Rattus norvegicus: one gene and its partner. The protein of the gene in region 1 interacts with the protein of each later gene in a pairwise test. Links are inferred from orthologs where the notes say so. Each region holds a gene or a part of one and is shown on either strand. Other genes may lie near its edges.

Region 1 (9,692 bases):
TAAAATTACACAAAGCTGCTCAAGATTGTTTCTATGAGCACCGTGTTGTTTAGACCTCTCAATTCTCTGTCAAGTAGTCAAGATCCATGGGGAATTGGTTCCAGAAATCCAAGTATGGGCTGGTAGAGCACTTGCCTAGCATAAGAGCCACCCCTGGATCCAGTCCCTCTGTAACATACATGCACACACACAAAGCAATCCTAGGGTGCTCATCTCTCCCCCAGAATGTATTTGCATATAAACTATGCTCCTGTGTATTTTAAATTTGGACTGTTTTCTCAAGACAGGGTCTTAAGTGGCCTCAGCTAGCCCTTAACTCCTCTTCCTCTTACGGCTGCCAACAGACATGCTCCTCCACATTTAGGAGGAGTGGGGGTATTTAGATTAATTATGATACTTAAAACTATACAAATGTTATGTAAATGTCATGACAGAGATTAGAAACGACAAAAGAGGGAAAGGTCTGTATGTGATCAATACAGATGCAATTTTATTCTCCAAGTTGGCTGCTGTTTTAACCTATGAGGATCCCCAGTTTGGACTCTACCCCCACTTCTCTTTTCAAAATCAAGTTCCTTAAAGCTGTAACCTGCCCCCAGGCCGCATGGACCCAGGCTAAGGATATGTCAGTATACAGGCTAGAAATCAAATCTCGAATTGCCCAAAATTCGCTTGCAACGCTATAAACACGTAGATTTGAACGTATCAAACACCACGTATGACAACAGTTTAAAAAAAACCTGAATTGTAAAAAAAAGTTTAAATGACCTAAATATGTCTACTCAGGGCATTTTGTTTCCTACATTGTACAGAACTTTTCAAAACCCAGAAGACAATGATAGTCACATGTGTAGCTAGCAGGGGCTTGGTGCCACCGTCCCGATGCTCACTCACCCCTCGATCCTGAGGAAATCAGGCATCTTGTTAGTGTGAGACGAAGAACCACTCCATTACAAGATCTCCTCCGACCCAGGAAGCCAAGGAGTCAGGGCTGAAAGGCAGCTCTGCAGCTTCACCCGAGTCCTTCGTGAAAACGCAGCCTTCCCACCGGTTACAGTGCCCTCACCCGAGGCCCAGGCTACGGCTGCCTTCCCCCAGCCGAGCCCGCCAGGCGGCTCTCTCTCCGGGACCCAGGCCAGAGCGGGCGCAGGCGCGGAACGCGGCCTGCGGGCGGACCGGGGCATTCCCCGCTCTCGCTGGGCTGGGACGGCGCCCGGCGGTTCGGTTTCACTCCCGGGACAGAATGGGGACACGGGGCATGGGCACGGCCTTCCGTTGGGCCCCGGGAAGTGTCTAGCGTGCCTCAGGGGGAGCTTGAGGTTTCCAAGGGGAAGTCGGGGAAAACACCCCCATGTCTGTCAGCGGGCTCCCTGCCCCGCCACAGCCTCGGCGCTCTCCGCAGCCTTCCCTCGAAACGCCCTCCCCACACAAACACACACAAACACACCCATACCGTGCGCCGCAGCCTCGCGTGGCGGGGTGGGAGAAAAGGCGGCGGCTTCCTTCCGGGCCGGAAGTCGTGCTCCGGAGAAACGCTTCCCTCCACAGGAGACTCCCACAGAGCGGGCTCGCCGGTCGCCGTGGAAGCTGTCAGGTGCAGGAAGGAAGCCGGCGCTCTCCTGAGAGAGAAGCGGGACGAGCCCGCTGAGGAGCCAGTCCGGCACTGGAGAAAAGAACCGGAACTGGATATAGAGACACCACTCTAATTTGCACTCCCCGGACTCAGTTAGACGGTGTACCGGGCCTGGTTACCATGGTAACTAGAGTCACAGTTTGTCTCCAAACTGAGAGAAGAGGTGCGTTCCCCCACGTTTGGATTAAGTGTGTATTCGTTGTTTATTTAATCTGACTTTACTATATAATTTGAAGACTCTAAATCTCTTTTTAAATTTTGGGCGACATTTCTCTCTTACGGGAGGAGGGTAATGGCGGGATCTTTGACTATTACTTTGAGGTAGTATTTATCAGGTGTTCCAGCTTAAGTATTAGTGTTCTTAATCCTCATCTTTGTTTTGAGAATAGGTGTGGGGTTGGGGATTTAGCTCAGCGGTAGAGCGCTTGCCTAGCAAACGCAAGGCCCTGGGTTCGGTCCCAGCTCCGAAAAAATGAGAGAGAGAGAGAGGGGAGAGAGGGGAGAGAGGGGAGAGAGGGGAGAGAGGGGAGGGAGAGAGAGAGAGAGAGAGAGAGAGAGAGAGAGAGAGAGAGAGAGAGAGAGAGAGAGAGAGAGAGAATAGGTGTATATATACACTACTTGCTCAAGGCAATACAGCTGTCTGTAGTTAGGAAGAACTTAAGCATATTGACTGCAATGCGCCTAGTTTTAACTACTGTACTGCCACTATGTATTTCTCCCCCTTCCCGTCTCTCTGTCCCGTCCCCCCCCCCCCCCAACCCCTCTCTCCTACACTTTCAGGTCTGGAAGGCACCAAGTCAGCCAATATTCCAGCTATTGGAACAACAGTCCTTTCTGTTTCCTCTGTATTTGTGAGGACCAGACAGAAGTACAGGTACAACGTGGGTATTTAGGAAGCGGCTCAGCTCACAGACTGTAGAAAAGCCAAGATTAAGCAGTACGTGTACACTGTTTTAGACATAGGAAGCAAGACCAGTTAAGAGCCTCCCCCAGAACAACTGCAAAAACCTTCCTTCTTCCCTGAAAGAGGAAATAAGGCCATAGCTACCCTACATGCCTTTCTCAAGTCCTGTCTCTCTAACAGGTTCCAAAGGCCTGAGTCATCACCATCATGAAGGCTTCCTCAAAGGGTCTTCTCACCCACATCTCCCAGTTCTGGAGCATGCTCGATGATTTGGCAGAAAATGATCCCGAGCGCTACCGGAACTTCATTCAGCAGGAGCTGAAAGATGGCAAACAGCTCTGTGCCGACCCAGAACCTCAACTCTGTCTACAGACAAAGATCCTAGTATGTGGAGCTACTGCAAGGGAGGAGAGGTCTTCAATAAAACTACTCCGGCTTAACCAGAGGATACAGTAGCCTTTTCTAGCGCTACTTTAACACGAGAGAAGTTTATTAAAACTCTCTCTGAGCAGAAAATGAAACCACATGGAAGATTTCATTGAAGGAGTAAAAATGAGAAATTCATACTTGGTATTTTAGAAATCCCAAATGCAGTTTTATTGCCCTGATAGGTGGAAAAGCAGTGCTATAACGAGTTAAGTTTTTTAAGAAAATATTTGTATTACATTTTATGGGTTGGGGTGGGGGTCAAGAGATTGCATGTGCTGCCTAGGAAGCACAAGGCCCTAGGTTTGGTCCCCAGCTCCGAAAAAAAAAAAAAAAAGAGATTGCATGTGCAAGAAAAGAGGACCACTCTGGGGAGTAGGCTTTCCATGAGGTGAGGAGAGAATTCAGATCATCAGCCTGGAACCAGGGGCTCTTAATCCCATCAAACTGGCCTGGATGCAATGAATGTTTGTTTGTCTCTTTATGTAGACATAGGCTGTCCAGTGCTATGTAGACCAGGCTGGCCAGAACCTCCTGCCTCTGCATCCTGAGTGCTGGGATTAAAGACTTCCTGGTTGTGATTTAATAAGACTCAGGAGCTGGGGACTTTTTTAAACAAAGAACTTACTATTATTAGTTAAATAATGAAGCAGTGACAGGAGGTCCAAAACACATACAGCAGTTGTTTACTTCATCTCCTCTTCCTCTCCTCTGAGAGAGAACAGCAGTTGGACTTAGGATGAAGAGCCAGAAGCTTTGGGAAAATCAAGTAACAAACAAACAAAATGTCTCAGCAGTAGAATGCTTGCCTAGCGTGTGAGGCTCTAAGTTGGATTTGATTCCTGGCATAGAGGAAATGAGTAAGTGAATGAATGAATGAATGAATGAATGAATGAACCAAAACACAGAAAGAACTTCAAATACTTTGCTTGGAACAACTGTGCTTTGTAGGATGTCAGGCACAGTTTTAATATAATCACTGAGTGGATGACTAGAACTCCCTTGGTGGGAGATCTAGCTGAGCGTCAGAGCACTTCCTTTGCATGTAGGAAGGCCTGAAAAAAAGCGATGACTTGCTTTCAGGATATTGTCATCAAATCTCATTTGGCAATATCAAAATTATTCACTTTCTAGAAACCAAAAGAAAAAGTACTTTTTATCAACCTATGTCAGTGGGAAAGGATCCCCGCACCACAATCAGCCACTCATCCTGTACCTATAAGTGTTGGCAGACCAGAAGATTTCCCTGAGACATCAGGTATAAAGAATTAAAGAAAGCATGTGTGGGTTTTTGTTGTTGTTTTTTCCAGACAGGGTTTCTCTGTGTAGCTCTGACTAGAACTCACTCAGTAGATAGGCTGGCCTTGAACTCAGAGATCTGCCTACCTCTGCCTCCAGAGTCCTGAAATTAAATGTGTTGTGGCACCATTGAACAGCTATATGTGAATTTTTTTTTTTTTTTGGTTCTTTTTTTCGGAGCTGGGGATTGAACCCAGGGCCTTGCGCTTCCTAGGCAAGCGCTCTACCACTGAGCTAAATCCCCAACCCCGTGAATTTTTTATTGAACATATTCAAAGACCAGAATTTACTTGGTAGGGATATTCTAATTAAATTATTTCATTTGGTGACTATTAATTGTTAATAAATAATTGAAATAGTCAATAATATTATTTTAAATGTTAGTGTAATGATTTATGAAATAATATTAATAATTACCAACAAATGGGTGTGCTTTATGCACGTTTAATATGATTTCTAATAGTCTGATCTGCTTTTGACTCAAATAGAAATGGCAGCATAGACTTGGAATTTTGTGTATATGTTAGAACAGACACCTGCATCTTTAGGCCAGATCATACAGCTTGAATCAGACCAGGCCTCCCTGCTGAGACAGAGTTAAACTCAACCTGTGCTGTGACCTCACAGTCTTTAATTCATGGTCACCTGTCTCTTCCATGACCTAATGTGCACTATACGGAAGTAAGTTATGTGACATGGAAATTACTATCACTCCTAAAAGGTTGTTAAAAAGTCAGCTTTTTGTGTTGTTCGTCGGGTTGTTCTTCAGGAAGATTTTGGTCATGCAAATGCTCTGATGCTGCCCTCTGCAGGACCCTGTCCTCCCTGCATATCTCCCATCTCCAATCTCCTGCAGCTAGCTTTCTCTCCACATTACCTCTCATTCTCAACCTGTGAAGCTCCTCTCCAGGATATAAAGGGAAGCCATAGTTCCCTTTAAGGTCCCATCATGTTTAGATCTCCATATATTGCATTGTTGTTGTCTAAGGCTTTGTCTTACTTCAAAGCCCTTTCTCCTAATAACCTTTGTGTCGGCTTCCTTTCTGACGAGCCAGTGCTGGCTTACCATAGTGCTTCTGTGATTGCTCTAAGAACACAGGGATGGAACCTGTGCTTTGCAATGTTGCTAACGTGGGTTAGAAGACTGCCGGACAAAATCCTTATAGAATCAAGTTGTCTCTGAATTACACACAGATGCTTGTACCATCATTGATGTTGCCTACAATCCTGGTGTTCTGCAAGCGGCAGAAAAAGACCAAGGAATCAAAGATCAGCTAATTAGGATGGCCATGCGGTGCATCGAGGAGCGACTCCAGCTCACACTTGCACATTCATACCATGTTACTCATTTTAGAGTGAAAGGAAGCATTCAGAGAATGAAAGAAAGGCTGATGGGCATTAAAACTCACTTCCCAAACTTCAAAGAGATGATGAGAAAAGGTAAGTTGATGGATGTAAGCTAAAAATGATTACAGATTCTGGGTTTGTAGCATGCGCATAGTTTTCAAGCCACACGTCTCTAAAAATAATGAGAAGCTGGACTGGAGAGATGGCCCAGTGGTTAAGAGCACTGACTGCTCTTCCAGAGGTCCTGGGTTCAAATCCCAGCAACCACATGGTGGCTCACAACCATCTGTAATGAGATCTGAGGCCCTCTTCTGGTGTGTCTGAAGACAGCTACAGTGTACTTACATTATAAAAAATAAATCTAAAAAATAGAATGAGAAGCTTGGAAGAATATACATTATCCAGAAAGATGTCAAAACCTTGCAGGATTCCCAAGCAAACTCTTTGGCTTGAGGTTCTGGGTATCTCTCTGTGTTTAGTTGAACCAGAATCAAATCCAGCCCCAAACTTCAGATCCAGGCAGGTTATCACTGAGCAGCGTGGCCAGCTTTAGAGCTAACCTTTCCAAATAATGTAACTGCGGCCTCATCAACTGTCTGTGTGAACATTACATATCCTAAAGCTCACAGCCTGATATTTGCATCTCCTTCCCCTCCCCCTTTTCTCCTCAAAGACAACACTCTTGAAAGGATCAGAAGCAGTACTGTGAGTGAACCCAGTCACCTTCCTGAGGTGCTATTGACAAAGAAACAAGTGTCGGCCAAAGGGAGATGTCTTATAGAAGAGATTGCTAGTTCAGAAGTCCAGGTGGAGGCTAAGACACCTGCCTACGAATTAAAGGTTGTAAAGGATCAGAACGAGAAGCCGCTGAAAATTGAGCTGAAAGTCGAGTTACCTGGGATTAAGGCAGTCTCTCTCTGTGAGCTTAGTGTTTCTGAGGTAAGTTAAACAAACACTGTAGTACTCCTGAGGAGGCAGCTCTAGGGGGTTGTTTTCAGGAACTCCTGCAGATGAGAAAAATCCACTGATGACCAGTTTTTTTATTGTTTGCAAGTAACACTTGCACTTGCATGTCCATGAGGTTTTTCTACCATTGAATAACATGTAAGTGCTGTGTAAATTCAGTGTGCATCAACTACGCTTCACCAGAACAGGGACTTAAGATAACTTTAAAGAGGAAGGGTTCGTTAGGGCTCATGATTTCAGAGGTTCCAACCTTGTTCAGACAACTATCTTCACACCTGTGTTGAAGTGTCAAGCACATTGTGACACAAATACATGACAAAGCAAAACCACTTTTCACTTAGGGACAGTACGGAAATGGCCATCATCCCACAATCCACTTTCCAGAAATATACCCAATGATCCAAAGACTTGGCACTAAGTTCCACCCCCTAAAGGTTCCAGCATCTCCAAATAGCATTTCTATGGTGGGAAAAACCACTTGGAGATTTGGAGAACAGTTAAGATCCAACTATACTGAGGCATGGTGGAGCACATCTTTAATCCAGAATTTAGGAGTCAGAGGCAGGCAGATCTCTGTGCTCTTGAGGCCAGCCTGATCTATTTAGTGATTTCCAGAACAGCCAGGGCTATGGAGAGAAAGATCCTGTTTCAAACAAAGACACAAACAAACAAAGACATCCAACCTATACCAAGCTGTTTTGACTGTATCAATTACAAAATAAGAAAATACTCTGCTACATGATTAGTGGAGATGAAGTCACTGTACGCCTAACTGTGTTCCAATACAAGGTAGGCTGCATCCACAGATTTAGAACCAGTACTGTGGAGGGCCAATTATACAGCAAACTTGTACCTATATTATGCTGCAGTAAAGTCAAAGGCTTATAGTAATTTGCTTAGGCTGCATATTACGTAGGCCTTCTCTGCCTCATTAGCTCTGTACATTCAGAAACCTCAGATGTGCCATTCTTTTTTTTTTAAAAAAAGATTTATGTGAGTACACTGTAGCTGTCTTCAGACACACTAGAAGTGGGCATCAGATCACATTACAGATGGCTGTGAGCCACCATGTGGTTGCTGGGATTTGAACTCAGGACCTCTGGAAGAGCAGTCAGTGCTCCTAACCGCTGAGCCATCTCTCCAGCCCCTGACATGCCAGTCTTACGGTAAAGGGAAACAGAAATTGCTGCTCCACGTAGTAGACCTAAAACTCCTATGAACATATAGCATATATCTCTTCTAATTTTATCCCACTGGCCCAAGTACATCAAAACATCAGTAGGACTGGGACTCTCAGGAAGTGATACATACATGGCATAGATGTATAGACAGAATTCTCTTACCTTACAGAAGAGGAGCAGATAATTGGGACATGGTACAGTCTACCCTCAGACTGAGACATTTCCTTCATTCTTCAAGGACAACTCTAATCCTAGCCTCAGATTCCAAAGAACAGGGTCTTTATCACCACAGTCTGTGTTCTCCTTTTTTTAAAAAAAATATCTTTTTTTTTTCTTCTTTTTTCTTTTCTTTTTTTTTTTTTTTCAGAGCTGGGGACCAAACCCAGGGCCTTAGCGCTCTACCACTGAGCTAAATCCCCAACCCCTTAATTTATTTTTATGTTTTACCTGTGTGTGTGTGTGTGTGTGTGTGTGTGTGTGTGTGTGTGTGTGTGTACATTAGATCCCTTGGAACTGGAGTTACAAAGAGTTGCGAGCTGCCATGTGGGTGCTGGCTGGGACTTTGAGAGAGCAACCAGTGCTCTTAACCACAGAACTACCTCTCCAGCCCGCTGTGTTCTCCTTTTAAACCAGACCGATGATATATCAAAACAAGTGATCTGCTGTGAACCCATCCACCATAGAGGGAGAGAGCAACTATAAAAAAAGTCTCACTTCAGAAATGATCCAAAGGTCTAGTTCCTGGGGAGCAGCAATCCTGAAATTGTAGCAACCAAAACCTGTGAATGGCCCACATGAAGATGGGTGGGAGTGCTCTTTGGGTCCCGGTAGAGGGCCCCTTTAGCTACCCATTGTCAGGCCGATTTCAGTTCCATGTGGGGAAGGTTTTTCCTGTTTCAGCATCCACGTTGGCCACACATACAAAAGGGATATCATAGACTGTGTCGGCACTGGATTTTCTGTGGGTTCCCTGCTGATGGAATGTTGAGGGCTGTACAATTTGAAGGCAGTTCCTTTTCCTTTTAGCCCATTGTGCCTGTATGATTGTAGTCACTACTCTACCCACAATTCTTTGCCCAGACTAGCTGCTCCAAACTTTTATCTTTAAACTTATTTTTTAGGTTTAATACATAAAATGACTCGTTTTCATGAAGGCACTTTCATGTCATTAAACTGAATTGCTGCCATCTTAACCAAATGTAAGGATTGGCTGACCTCTCCCTCTGCCTGTCCACGCACGGGCTTTTCAACAAGTGCTGCTTAACCTTTGTCTTAGCCACTGTAGCTAATAGCAATTTCTTATTTTATCCTTGCTGAATTGACTCCATTTTTCAGCTGTTAAGTCTTAGCATTTGGAGGCTGCATATAAACTGGTTAGTGTCTATTCTCCCTCTCTGTGATGCCTTATGAAATGTTCCCAATAAGAATTGACCTTATATCCCCAGTTCTTCTAAAGGCATAAGATAGCTGATTATGTGCATTTGAAATTCTCAGGCGAGCGAGGTTCATTGAGGGCGTTACTATGAAACATGGGTCCTTTCTTCCAGGCTCCAGTACATTTCCTTGCCATCTGACAGTAAATCCGGAAGACAGCCAGTGTTCAGATGCAACACTCTACTTCTGCTACTGTTACAATTAACTCCCTGGCCCAACCTCTCAGACAGGGTTTCTCTATGTAACAGAGCCTGGAGTGCACCACCATACAACGTTAACAAAATGTTGTGTTAGTGAGCAAAATCTCAAGAGTCCACAATTCCAAGTCTCGTGGCACCGACGAGGTTTCCATACAAGTGACTGCACTGATCTACTAGCGGGTTACGATGGTCTGGTATCGTGATTTTAAATCTATTTTTTATTTTTAGGTTGATTTATTGATTGAGGTCTCTGAGATGTACCGATTATGCCTGAATCTTCCAGAATCGATTAATACAGAAAT
Region 2 (10,395 bases), on another chromosome or scaffold:
ACAGTTCCAAACTTAAACTCCTGAACCTGGAGGCAGGAGCTAATGCAGAGGCCATGGAGGGGTGCGGCTTACTGACTTGCTCCCCATGGCTTGCTCAGACTGCTTTCTGAGAACCTAGAACCATGAGCCCAGGCTGGCCCTTTCCCACTGATCACTAACTGAGAAAATGCCTTATAGATGGGAATCGTGGAGACATTTTCTCAACTGAGGTTCCTTCCTCTCTAATATTTTATTTTAAATTTTGTCTGTGTCAAGTTGACACACAAAACCAGCCAGTACAGGCAGGCTGTGAACTTATTAAACAATAAACTTTCAGGAGCAGTAAATAGGTCTTAAAATAATACATAAGCAAAATTTTGTGGATCAATTGATTACAAAGCTGCCATTTCCTTTTTGTTGTTTTAACCTTATTTTATTTTATGTGTACGGGTGTTCGACAGTGGCTGGTCTGGAACTTGCTATTTTAGACCAGGCTGGCTTCCAACCTACCTGCCTCTGTCTGCTGACATGTGCTATGCAGGGCTCTATTTAATTTTGTTTGTTTGGTTGGTTGGTTGGTTTTTAAACAGTATTTATGTAGCTCAGGGGGACTCTAGCCCAGGTACACCTTGAACTTGTGATTCTCCTGGCACACCTCCTCAGTAGGTGAAATCACAGGCCTGTAGCCTGTGATTATACATACACACACACATATATATATATATATATATATATATATAATTTGTAGTATAACTACAAATATACTACAAATATACTACAAATATATACTATATATGATATATATAATAAATTATATATATATATATCATTTGTAGTATAGCTGGTCTCACACATTCCAAGATTGTTAAGGAGCATTTATATTTATTTACCTATTCACTTATTTTTGAGACAGGGTTTCTTTATGTAGCCCTGGAAGTTCTGGAATTTGCTCTGTAGGCCAGACTGGCCTGAGATCCTGCTGCCTCTCTGCCTCCACCTCTGTCACACAAGTGCTGGAGTTAAAGGCTTGCACCACCACTGCCTGGCCACTAAGGAGTATTTATAGCTAACTTTGAGAAGGCTGCTTTCAGATGATAGCTAAGTATCCTTAAACTGAAGCGTAAACTCCGTCTCTACAGGTTTACAAAACCTTAGAACGTATGCTTTATTTTCAGCTCTCCTGTTACTTGATGCTATTCGTGCGGTGAGAACAGAATAAGCTTCGCATTTATTGGAAACACATTATAGGACGACAGACACTGGGGTTTATCTTTTTAATTCATTATTATTGTCTTTTTTTCGAGACTGGGTTTCACTATGTACCTCTCTGACTGTTCACTATGTAGACCAGGCTGGCTCTGAAACTCAGAGATCCATTTACCTCCATGAGCGCTGGGATTAAAGATATGTGTGCCCATACTCAGATTATACTTTTAAAATATAAAATGCCTTCCACAGTGGAAGTCTAAATATTTCCTCTTAAGGGACTTACAAAAATCCTCAGGGCAATGTAATGACAGTACTACTAACCCTAAAGAAAACGTCCAATGGGCAAGTATGTGGACCTGCTTCTCTCTCAGTGAAACATCAGTTACTTTGTTAAGTTTCTTAGACCAGGTGGTTATTATTTACTTCTAATTTTATAGCAACTTTGAATGAGACTCTATGCTGATGGCCTCGTCCCTTGAGGCAAGGTCTCATTATATATAGCCCTTGCAGGGATCCACAAGACTCTGTGTTGGGAGCAATGGCCTTGAAACCCTCCATTATCGATGTTAATATTATGGTTAGAGTTTAGTATGACTGGGTTCATGGAAAATCCCCAGCCAGCTGCAGAAGACTAATATAAATCTGGTGGTCAAGATGAGTAATGATATAACATGAAAGTTGTGACCTTGCTGAGAAATACATCTGATGTCAGGATGCCCAATATGACAAACCTGTAACCTTTCTGAAAAACCAACATCCTGTTGACATCAGCTGACCACACAAATACGGCGTCCTTGGCCTGCGTAAATGTTTCCTACTCCCCCCCCCCCCCCGTTACCCCTGTTATGGTATAAATTCAGCCTTGGGAAAAAATAAAATTGTCGCCTTGATCAGACTCTTGTCTTGGCGTCCTTCTTTGTGTCTCTTGTCCCCCATTCTCTTCCAGGTACCCTCTGCGCCCTCACTGACACTCTGCTTCCTGAGTGCTGGGGGTTAAAAGTCCGTGTCACCATACCTGGTCTCTATTTTGTCATCATTTTGTGACAGTTTCTGACAGAGTAACTTCCTAATAAGTAAAGGTTTTATTTTTGAATAAGGAAGGTATCTGAGGTGGGCGAGATGACTCAGAGCTGGCCTTAGGGCATGCTGACCTGAATTCCATCCCCAGGACCTACTTGTGGGATCCACATGGTTGGAGAAGAATGGACTAAGGGTTGTTCACTGACTTCCACAAATGCTGAGGTGCATACTCAAGAAATAAATAAACACAAAGTAATCGTTTAGAGCCAAATACTTTTGGTAAAGTAGCAAATTGAGCCTTTTCCTCCTCCGGTAGATCAGCCTTTGGTCTTGGTCTTCTGAATTAATGAGAAAAAAAATTTGAGTTTTCACGATGCTTTTGTAATATGCTTTAAAATTCAATGATTAAATATCTTCTAATATTTTTAGCGAAGGCCAGATTTGTGGTTGACTGGAAACCTCTAGGCTTACGCAGCTATGCAAGTTTATTATGGGCAATACGAGCTGTATCGTCTCAATTTCAGTAAGGCAACATTAGACGATTAAAATAGGTTTTTTTTTGTTTGTTTGTTTGTTTTACCAAAAGAGACAAACAGCTTTTGAAGTGCTGGGGCTGAGCCTGCCAGGAGCACGCATTAACGTTTTTGTGTTACAAAGAATGACAGGTCCTTTGCAAAAGTTGGTAGTGATTCTATCAATCATTTCTCACACCTGTTAGGTTGAAACTGTTAGCATTACTTTTTAAACCAGACCTGAAGACGACCGACCAGAAAGACATGAAATTCGAATCACCACCCTAGGGACATCTGTTAATGATACTCCAAGTTGTGCTCCTCGTCTTAAAAAAAATATAACAGCAAACTGGATTTCCTAGGATATGCTGGGTGGCCGACATTTTCCGTGGCAGGGGTTTCACACGTTCCAGATCTGAACGGATATTAAATGGCTGGGCGAAATGCCAGGTGGCCCTTTACTGTCACATTAAACAGCAGTGAGAACGGGCGGGGTAACCCGATTCCGTTCCGGCGCGGAACGCGGCGGCCCGGCCCAGGGCCACGCTGACGCGCAGGTAGCCCGGAGCTGCGTCCTGGAGACGCCGCCCGCCAGCGAACAGCGCCACCGGCTTCCGCCCTAGGCGCCCCCGGCTCCGCCGGCCTCTGCGGCAGGGCCGCGGAAACCCCGTAGGAGCAGGGCGGCCGAGGAGCGCGGCGCGCGGTCGCGCTGCTGCAATATTCTTCCGCCGAAATCAAAGAGTCCCAGGCCCCCTCCTGATTCATGGATCTCCAGGAACGCTGTAATACCAAGTAATAGTGAAATGTGGATTTTGTCATCGACTCCTTTAGGGCTTCACCTCCGGTAACAAACTCCAGGAGTACAATTTTGTGGCTTCCGAAGAGGGAATAAGAAAATTCCTCCGCGAGAAACGGGTTCCGGCCGCGAGCCTATAAAAAACGGGCGGCGCCGTCCCGCTGTCTTTTCAGTCGGGCGCTGAGTGGGTTTTCGGATCATGTCTGGTGGCTCCGCGGATTACAACAGGTACGGCGCTCCTGGGGCGGCCGGTGGCCTGTAGTGAAGGTCACTAGCACCCGCGGTTGAGGTGGGTGGCTAGCGGCCACACTGCAGGTATGCGGGCTTTTTCTTAGGGCACACACAGTCTCCTTGTGTCCTTCGAGAAGCTTCCATGATGGTAGGACTCCAGATGTTGGGGAGACAGGACGGATAGGAGAAGGGAGTATTAAGGATGCCCTTCCTTAGGACACATTGTGACATCTTGGCCGCTGCCCCTCCCCATGTGGGACATGGCAAGCAGAGCCGTGGCGCAGTCTGCTTAGGGCAGGATAACCGGGTCCCGAAGGTTTATTTGCCGCCAGCGGCGCGAGCTGGGGTTCTTAGTGTTCTGTCGAGGTGGGAGACCGGACAGCCAGAGGACGATCACCCTGGACCGTAAACGGGGCGACGAGCCGTTGGCATGGTCCTGCCAGGGCCTCTCGGCGTCAATCACGCCGGCTTGCGCAGAGTTAGGGGCGGAGCTCGGCGCGCGGAGCGCTCGCGAGAGCTTCCCTTCCCAAACGGGAGGCCCGGGTCCTAGGGCACTAAGTAGAGGGGCCTCTACACGGAGGACTCCAAATCCTCAGCTATTGGGAAGAACGAATGGTGTCTACCTGCAATGCCACTGTTCTTGAGGCATTTTCAGTAGAGCACACGTGCGCGGAGGGTAATGAGGCACGGGGTGGAAGGGCCTTTTTAAGGGCTTGTGGCTTGGAAGAAGTATGTCTAACTGCAGTGTTCTTGTCAGCAGAGAACATGGCGGCCCAGAGGGAATGGACCCCGATGGTGTCATCGAGGTAAGGAATGGGTGTGGACGTTAAAGGGTTGGGAGGTACATTTTTTTCCGTCTTACTCATAGTTTTATTATTAACTTACAGAGCAACTGGAATGAAATTGTTGATAACTTTGATGATATGAATTTAAAGGAGTCCCTTCTTCGAGGCATCTATGCTTATGGTTTTGAGAAGCCTTCAGCTATTCAGCAGAGAGCTATAATCCCATGTATTAAAGGTAAAACTCCACTGACATTTAGGATAAGTGTTCTGCACCCACGTGGACCGTAAAAGGGAAAGTGACCTTTTGGGGAAGTACTAGCACCTGTTTGTATTCCTTAAAGTGAAATGATGGCAATCATCTTTCGGGACTGACCTGAAATGAAGAGAAAACTCTCTGCTGATCACTTATATGGGCATAATTTATGTTCCAACTGGAATACATGGTGTGTAGTAGAAGTAACGATTTGATGTGGGATCGGTAAATATGTATCCTACTTTTTTTAGGATATGATGTGATTGCTCAAGCTCAGTCAGGTACTGGCAAGACAGCCACATTTGCTATTTCCATCCTGCAACAGTTGGAGATTGAGTTCAAGGAGACCCAAGCACTAGTATTGGCCCCCACCAGAGAACTGGCTCAACAGGTATTGATAGTGTAGTTCAAAAACTGCTTGCGTGTTGCATAGGTTTCAGGTTTCACAACTGTGAAGGATTTAAAATTAAGACGTATAAACTGTCCTAGTCCTATGAGAGCCCTCATAATGTCCGTGCATGCAGGGAGTTTGTTGTTAGCGAACAGGAATGGGTATTGTAGGTATGACTTGTAGGGCCTGGTGTAGCTCAGTTAAACCCATAGGTTTCTCAGGGTGGATTAGAAATTTGGAATGCAGTTGTGCAACATGAAAACTGCAGTGACATGTTAACCATTTGACTGTCTCAGTAGTTTGTGATGCATCTGTTGCATGCTATGTTTTCAAAGCGCTGCTATATTGGCTTTGAAGTAAATTCCTGATGAAGCTGCAAGCTTTACTCAGGTGAGGATAAGGCTCAGTGCCTTGTGGGAGAAATACCAGCATTTGCCCTTACAGAGAACATTTCACTACACAGTGGAGAATGTAGACATTTTTTTTTACCTGTGTTCCTAGTTGGTGTTTGAGGCAACAGGGCACCAAGTTTGAAAAGACAAGAAGGGAGCATTAAGTAGTTCAAGAGTGAATTTTAAGCTTGTAATTAATAAGTTTTGTGCTATGCATGCATAAAAGCTGTTGGCATATATATGATAGTACAATTATGCCTTTAAGCTTAGTCCTAGACCTTGGCTTTACAGAATGATAACTAAAATATTTTGCTTTTAGATCCAAAAGGTCATTTTGGCTCTTGGAGATTATATGGGAGCAACTTGTCATGCTTGCATTGGAGGAACAAATGTTCGAAATGAAATGCAGAAGTTGCAGGCTGAAGCCCCTCATATTGTTGTTGGCACTCCTGGGAGAGTATTTGATATGCTAAACAGAAGATACCTTTGTAAGTGACTTTTAAAGGCTCTTTCTTATCTGTCACCAAGAAGGCTGTGAGAACTTTGAGATGAAGTATGACTTTCTTATTAACAGCTCCAAAATGGATCAAAATGTTTGTTTTGGATGAAGCAGATGAAATGTTGAGCCGAGGGTTTAAGGATCAGATCTATGAGATTTTCCAAAAATTAAATACAAGCATTCAGGTAAAGTTCGTTTCTATTCATTTGGGTTTGGTTTCATGCAGGTACAGTTACAATAAAACTGAAGTGTTCTATTGTCGTTCCCCCTGCTTAAAGTATCTGATACATTACTATCTCTGCCTAGCTCTACCATAGTAAGGCAGAGACGCTTGGTTTCAAACATTTTTCCCTATAGTATTTGCTGCAAGCTTATACAAACTAAACAGGTAAAGACAGTCATTTCTTTTTTAAAGGTTGTGTTACTTTCTGCCACAATGCCAACTGATGTCCTAGAAGTGACCAAGAAATTCATGAGAGATCCAATTCGAATTCTGGTGAAGAAGGAAGAATTGACCCTTGAAGGAATTAAACAATTTTATATTAATGTTGAGCGAGAGGTAATTTTCTTTATTAAATGTAAGGGTTTTTACCTTCTTGTATAAGCACTGTGCTAAAATTACAGGAACTAGGATTATATCTTGGTTTTTGTAATAATGCTAGCAGAGTACACACAAGAAGAAGAGTAACTGCACTGGATTCCAAAGACTGGGGTGGACCTCTTTCTTAATGTCCAGTGTCCTTTGTCATAAGATTCGGTGCAATAAGTCTTTAGATCAATTCTCCTTGGAGATCATGACCATTTGGGGGTAGCATCAGGTATTTTACATTGTGGCTCAACAATTAAGTAGCAACAAATTTATGGTGGGGAAATGTATTAGAGGTTTGTAGCATTAGGGTTGAGAACCGCTGTGGGATGATGTCACAGGTGAGGCAGGTACAAGATAGAGTGAGGCCTGTCATTGGATGAGAAGGAAGGATGGGTGGGAGAAAAGTTTGAAGGAAGAGATGGGAACAGAAGAGGAGAGAGTTGGCGGGGGTTTGGGAGCTGACACTAAGCTTCTGTGTGCACCTTTACAGGTTCTTATGACTGTTCTTAAGGGGTGGCTTTGTATATATTTGGGTGGGCAATTATATCTTATAAATTGGACCAAAGGTTATTGTTTGTGTGTTCTTTCATGTAGCAGTTTAAGTGTAAGGGAGTGTGGGGTGGCTGGTCTGGGCTGCCACAGAGTTGGGGTATGTGCTTCTGGCAAGAAATCTAGCAGGATACCTTGGGGACTTGCTGGACTTGAGGGGTTAAGACAGTCATACTTTTATGTATTTTTACATCACAAACCACTGCTTTAGTTTTGTTGAAAATCATGGAAATTTTGTTTGACTTTAGGAGTGGAAGCTGGACACTCTTTGTGACTTGTATGAGACTTTGACTATCACACAAGCAGTTATTTTTCTCAATACAAGGCGCAAGGTGGACTGGCTCACGGAGAAAATGCATGCCAGGGACTTCACAGTTTCTGCTCTGGTAAGAGTTGTTGGATTTAGTAATGCTAATTATAGCCATTAAGCAGGATTTTACTACAATATGGCTGCTCAGTGCTGTGTTGTCGTTCCCCCTGCTCAGAACAATTGTTTCTTAACTATACCTGTCTGCTGTCTACCTGTAGCAGCCAGGGACGCTTGGTCTCATACATGATAGAAAGAAATTAAATGAATGCCTGACCTGAATAGGGATTGCTGAATTGAGTTGTTGTATTTGCAGCATGGTGACATGGACCAGAAGGAAAGAGATGTCATCATGAGGGAATTCCGATCAGGGTCAAGCCGTGTTCTGATCACTACTGACTTGTTGGTGAGTTTGCTGTTTTGTTTTGTTTTCTTAAGTACCAAAAGCTAGATTTGTGGAAAAGGTTTTATTTAATAACCTTAACCAGTTCACGCTATTTGGCAGAATGAGTAAGACCACACTCCACAGTGGACTATACCACTTAGTATGGTTCATTACTATATTGTGGCCTACATTGATTGCAGAGATGTCTAGGTTTTGGATTATATTAAACAACCTCTTTATTTCAGGCTCGTGGGATTGATGTGCAACAAGTGTCCTTGGTTATAAACTATGATCTACCTACCAATCGTGAAAACTATATTCACAGGTGAGAAGAAAGCATCTCCAATATTTGTATTGGAGAAGTAATATTTGTATTGGAGAAGTAAATTCAAACATGTCTACGGTGTTTTGTATACAAGGTACTGACTGGCAAATCAGGGAATAGATTGCAGTAAAAAGGCATAGTAATTTACTAAGGTCTAAAATTGTGTTTGGGAAGATTGGTCAGAACAAAGTGGGAAACTGTGTAATGTGGCCAAGGTTGTGTATTCACATGCAGACTAGGTTGATTTAGATTTCTTTGGTCTTAGCTTATGTTTGAGCCTTATAGTGATTTTTCTTGTGTCCATGTGCTTTTTTTCTTGGTGATTGATTCTATACAGTTGGGATTTTCTTGGTGTTGCTGGTAGCATTTTGAGTGATTCCCTGGTTTAGTTATAGTGGCTTTTTATCCCTAAATAAATTGAATTGTACTTTGTTATATGATGTAAAAAAAGACTTTTTAAAAAATACAGGAGTCGATAGCGGCAGTTGATGACGAGATGGCGCTCAGAAACGGCGTTGACGTAATTTAGGACGTGGAATCATAAGCGAAACAGCACACTGTTTGAATAAAGAGCGAGTCGGTATTTATATTTGATTTTCTTTTGTCATGATTATTTGATATTTTAAGTTGTTCCAGCCCAAGGCATTTTTGTATGTTAGCATTTCTGATAGGGAGCATTAGGTGGTTGTATTGTCTGGTACTTTGTAGGAAGGTAGAGAGCTGTTTTGGAGGTGTAACACGTTTGAGTAATTTGAGTATAACGTGTGAAAAGAAGCTGAGCAAAAAGCAGTGATGAGTTTGGGTTACCATACCAAATACTTGCTTTCACACTGGAAAAAGTAAGTTTTAGAAAATAGTTAACCTTGCAGTATTTGTATTTACAGTTTACAGTTCCAGAAGTGCGTCGAATGGATTGTATAACTGTTTCTTTTATTCCTGGTGTTTACATTTGTCCCAGGCTGACAACTGCTCCTGGCTGGCCCACTTTGGTATGGGCTTTAATTTCACCCCAAACACAATACTGTCATCTGCTTTACTGTAATGCTCAAGGCGCCTATCTCATTTTGCAGCCAGACAGGCCTTGAATTCTTTTGGCACTATCTGCAAAGGAAGATGTTTTCCCACCTGGATATTGGTTTTTATCAGCTAGTGCTGCACTTAAAAGCACGAACCCTAACCCTGATAAGTAACCAGCAGCTGCTGGTTAACAAGTGGATCGTCATATTCAGTAGCTTTGAATGGTACTAAAGCAACTTGCTGACTGCTGCTTTCTTTCTCTTATACAGAATTGGCAGAGGGGGTCGATTTGGGAGGAAAGGTGTGGCTATAAACTTTGTTACTGAAGAAGACAAGAGGATTCTTCGTGACATTGAGACTTTCTACAATACTACAGTGGAGGAAATGCCCATGAATGTGGCTGACCTAATTTAATTCCTGGGATGAGATAGTTTGGAATGCAGTGCTCGCTGTTGCTGAATAGGCGATCACAACGTGCATTGTGCTTCTTTGAGAATATTTGAATCTTGTCTCAATGCTCATAACGGATCACAAATACAGATTCTGATAGCAAAGCGACTTTAGTCCTGAGCTCTTGTGAGGAAAGGCATTGGCTTTATCCTCTTTAGAGTTAGACTGTTGGGGGTGGGTATAAAAGATGGGGTCTGTAAAATCTTTTTTTCTTAGAAATTCATTTACTAGTTATGTAGAAATGGTTGTATTAGATGTTCTCTATCATTTAATAATATACTTGTGGACTAAAAGATATAAGTGCTGTATAAAATCAGCCAATTATGTTAAACTAGCATATCTGCCTTTATTGTGTTTGTCATTAGCCTGACTAGAAAGGCCTTTAAAGTGATCTTTTTTTAGAGAAAATTTGAATGCATTTTGTTTATTGTATTTATTCAATAAAGTATTTAATTAGTGCTAAGTGTGAACTGGACCCTGTTGCTAAGCCTCAGCAAGCAATCATCCTAGGTAGGGTTAACAACCCCCCAGTAAAATTGCCATATTGCACATGTCTTAATGAAGTTTGAATGTTAAATAAAAATTGTATATTCACTTTATATACAGGTGGTTTGGTCCTTTATTTCTATTATTCATACAAAAGAACATCGATCTTAACAGTTCTGGGTCAGTTGCTGCATCACAGTTGCGCAGAGGCTCATCAGCT

What was found.
Region 2: the proteins of Pih1d2 (region 1) and Eif4a2 interact in binary tests that used the Homo sapiens proteins (3 or more experiments, as listed by UniProt). The two-hybrid records come from large-scale screens. The link is inferred for Rattus norvegicus from reciprocal best matches to the Homo sapiens genes PIH1D2 and EIF4A2.

The regions. Positions count from the first base shown.
Region 1 is NC_086026.1:59,861,710-59,871,401, forward strand, and holds the start of Pih1d2 (PIH1 domain-containing protein 2), read left to right. Parts: upstream 1-1,561; 5' UTR 1,562-1,796; exon of another isoform or gene 1,797-1,821; intron 1,822-2,413; 5' UTR 2,414-2,507; intron 2,508-2,717; 5' UTR 2,718-2,744; coding exon 2,745-2,921; exon of another isoform or gene 2,922-3,819; coding exon of another isoform or gene 3,820-3,823; intron 3,824-4,097; coding exon 4,098-4,221; intron 4,222-5,456; coding exon 5,457-5,702; intron 5,703-6,282; coding exon 6,283-6,548; intron 6,549-9,618; coding exon 9,619-9,692.
Region 2 is NC_086029.1:91,268,623-91,279,017, reverse strand, and holds Eif4a2 (eukaryotic initiation factor 4A-II), read left to right. Parts: upstream 1-3,694; 5' UTR 3,695-3,715; coding exon 3,716-3,744; intron 3,745-4,504; coding exon of another isoform or gene 4,505-4,507; coding exon 4,508-4,553; intron 4,554-4,632; exon of another isoform or gene 4,633-4,634; coding exon 4,635-4,767; intron 4,768-4,870; exon of another isoform or gene 4,871-4,939; intron 4,940-5,036; coding exon 5,037-5,176; intron 5,177-5,887; coding exon 5,888-6,056; intron 6,057-6,142; coding exon 6,143-6,252; intron 6,253-6,287; exon of another isoform or gene 6,288-6,412; intron 6,413-6,482; coding exon 6,483-6,626; intron 6,627-6,657; exon of another isoform or gene 6,658-6,835; intron 6,836-7,453; coding exon 7,454-7,591; intron 7,592-7,631; exon of another isoform or gene 7,632-7,760; intron 7,761-7,828; coding exon 7,829-7,918; intron 7,919-7,949; exon of another isoform or gene 7,950-8,089; intron 8,090-8,142; coding exon 8,143-8,222; intron 8,223-8,691; coding exon of another isoform or gene 8,692-8,701; exon of another isoform or gene 8,702-9,508; coding exon 9,509-9,653; 3' UTR 9,654-10,288; downstream 10,289-10,395. Other genes in the region: Rfc4 (replication factor C subunit 4), read right to left, coding at 10,343-10,395. UniProt on the Homo sapiens protein: ATP-dependent RNA helicase which is a subunit of the eIF4F complex involved in cap recognition and is required for mRNA binding to ribosome.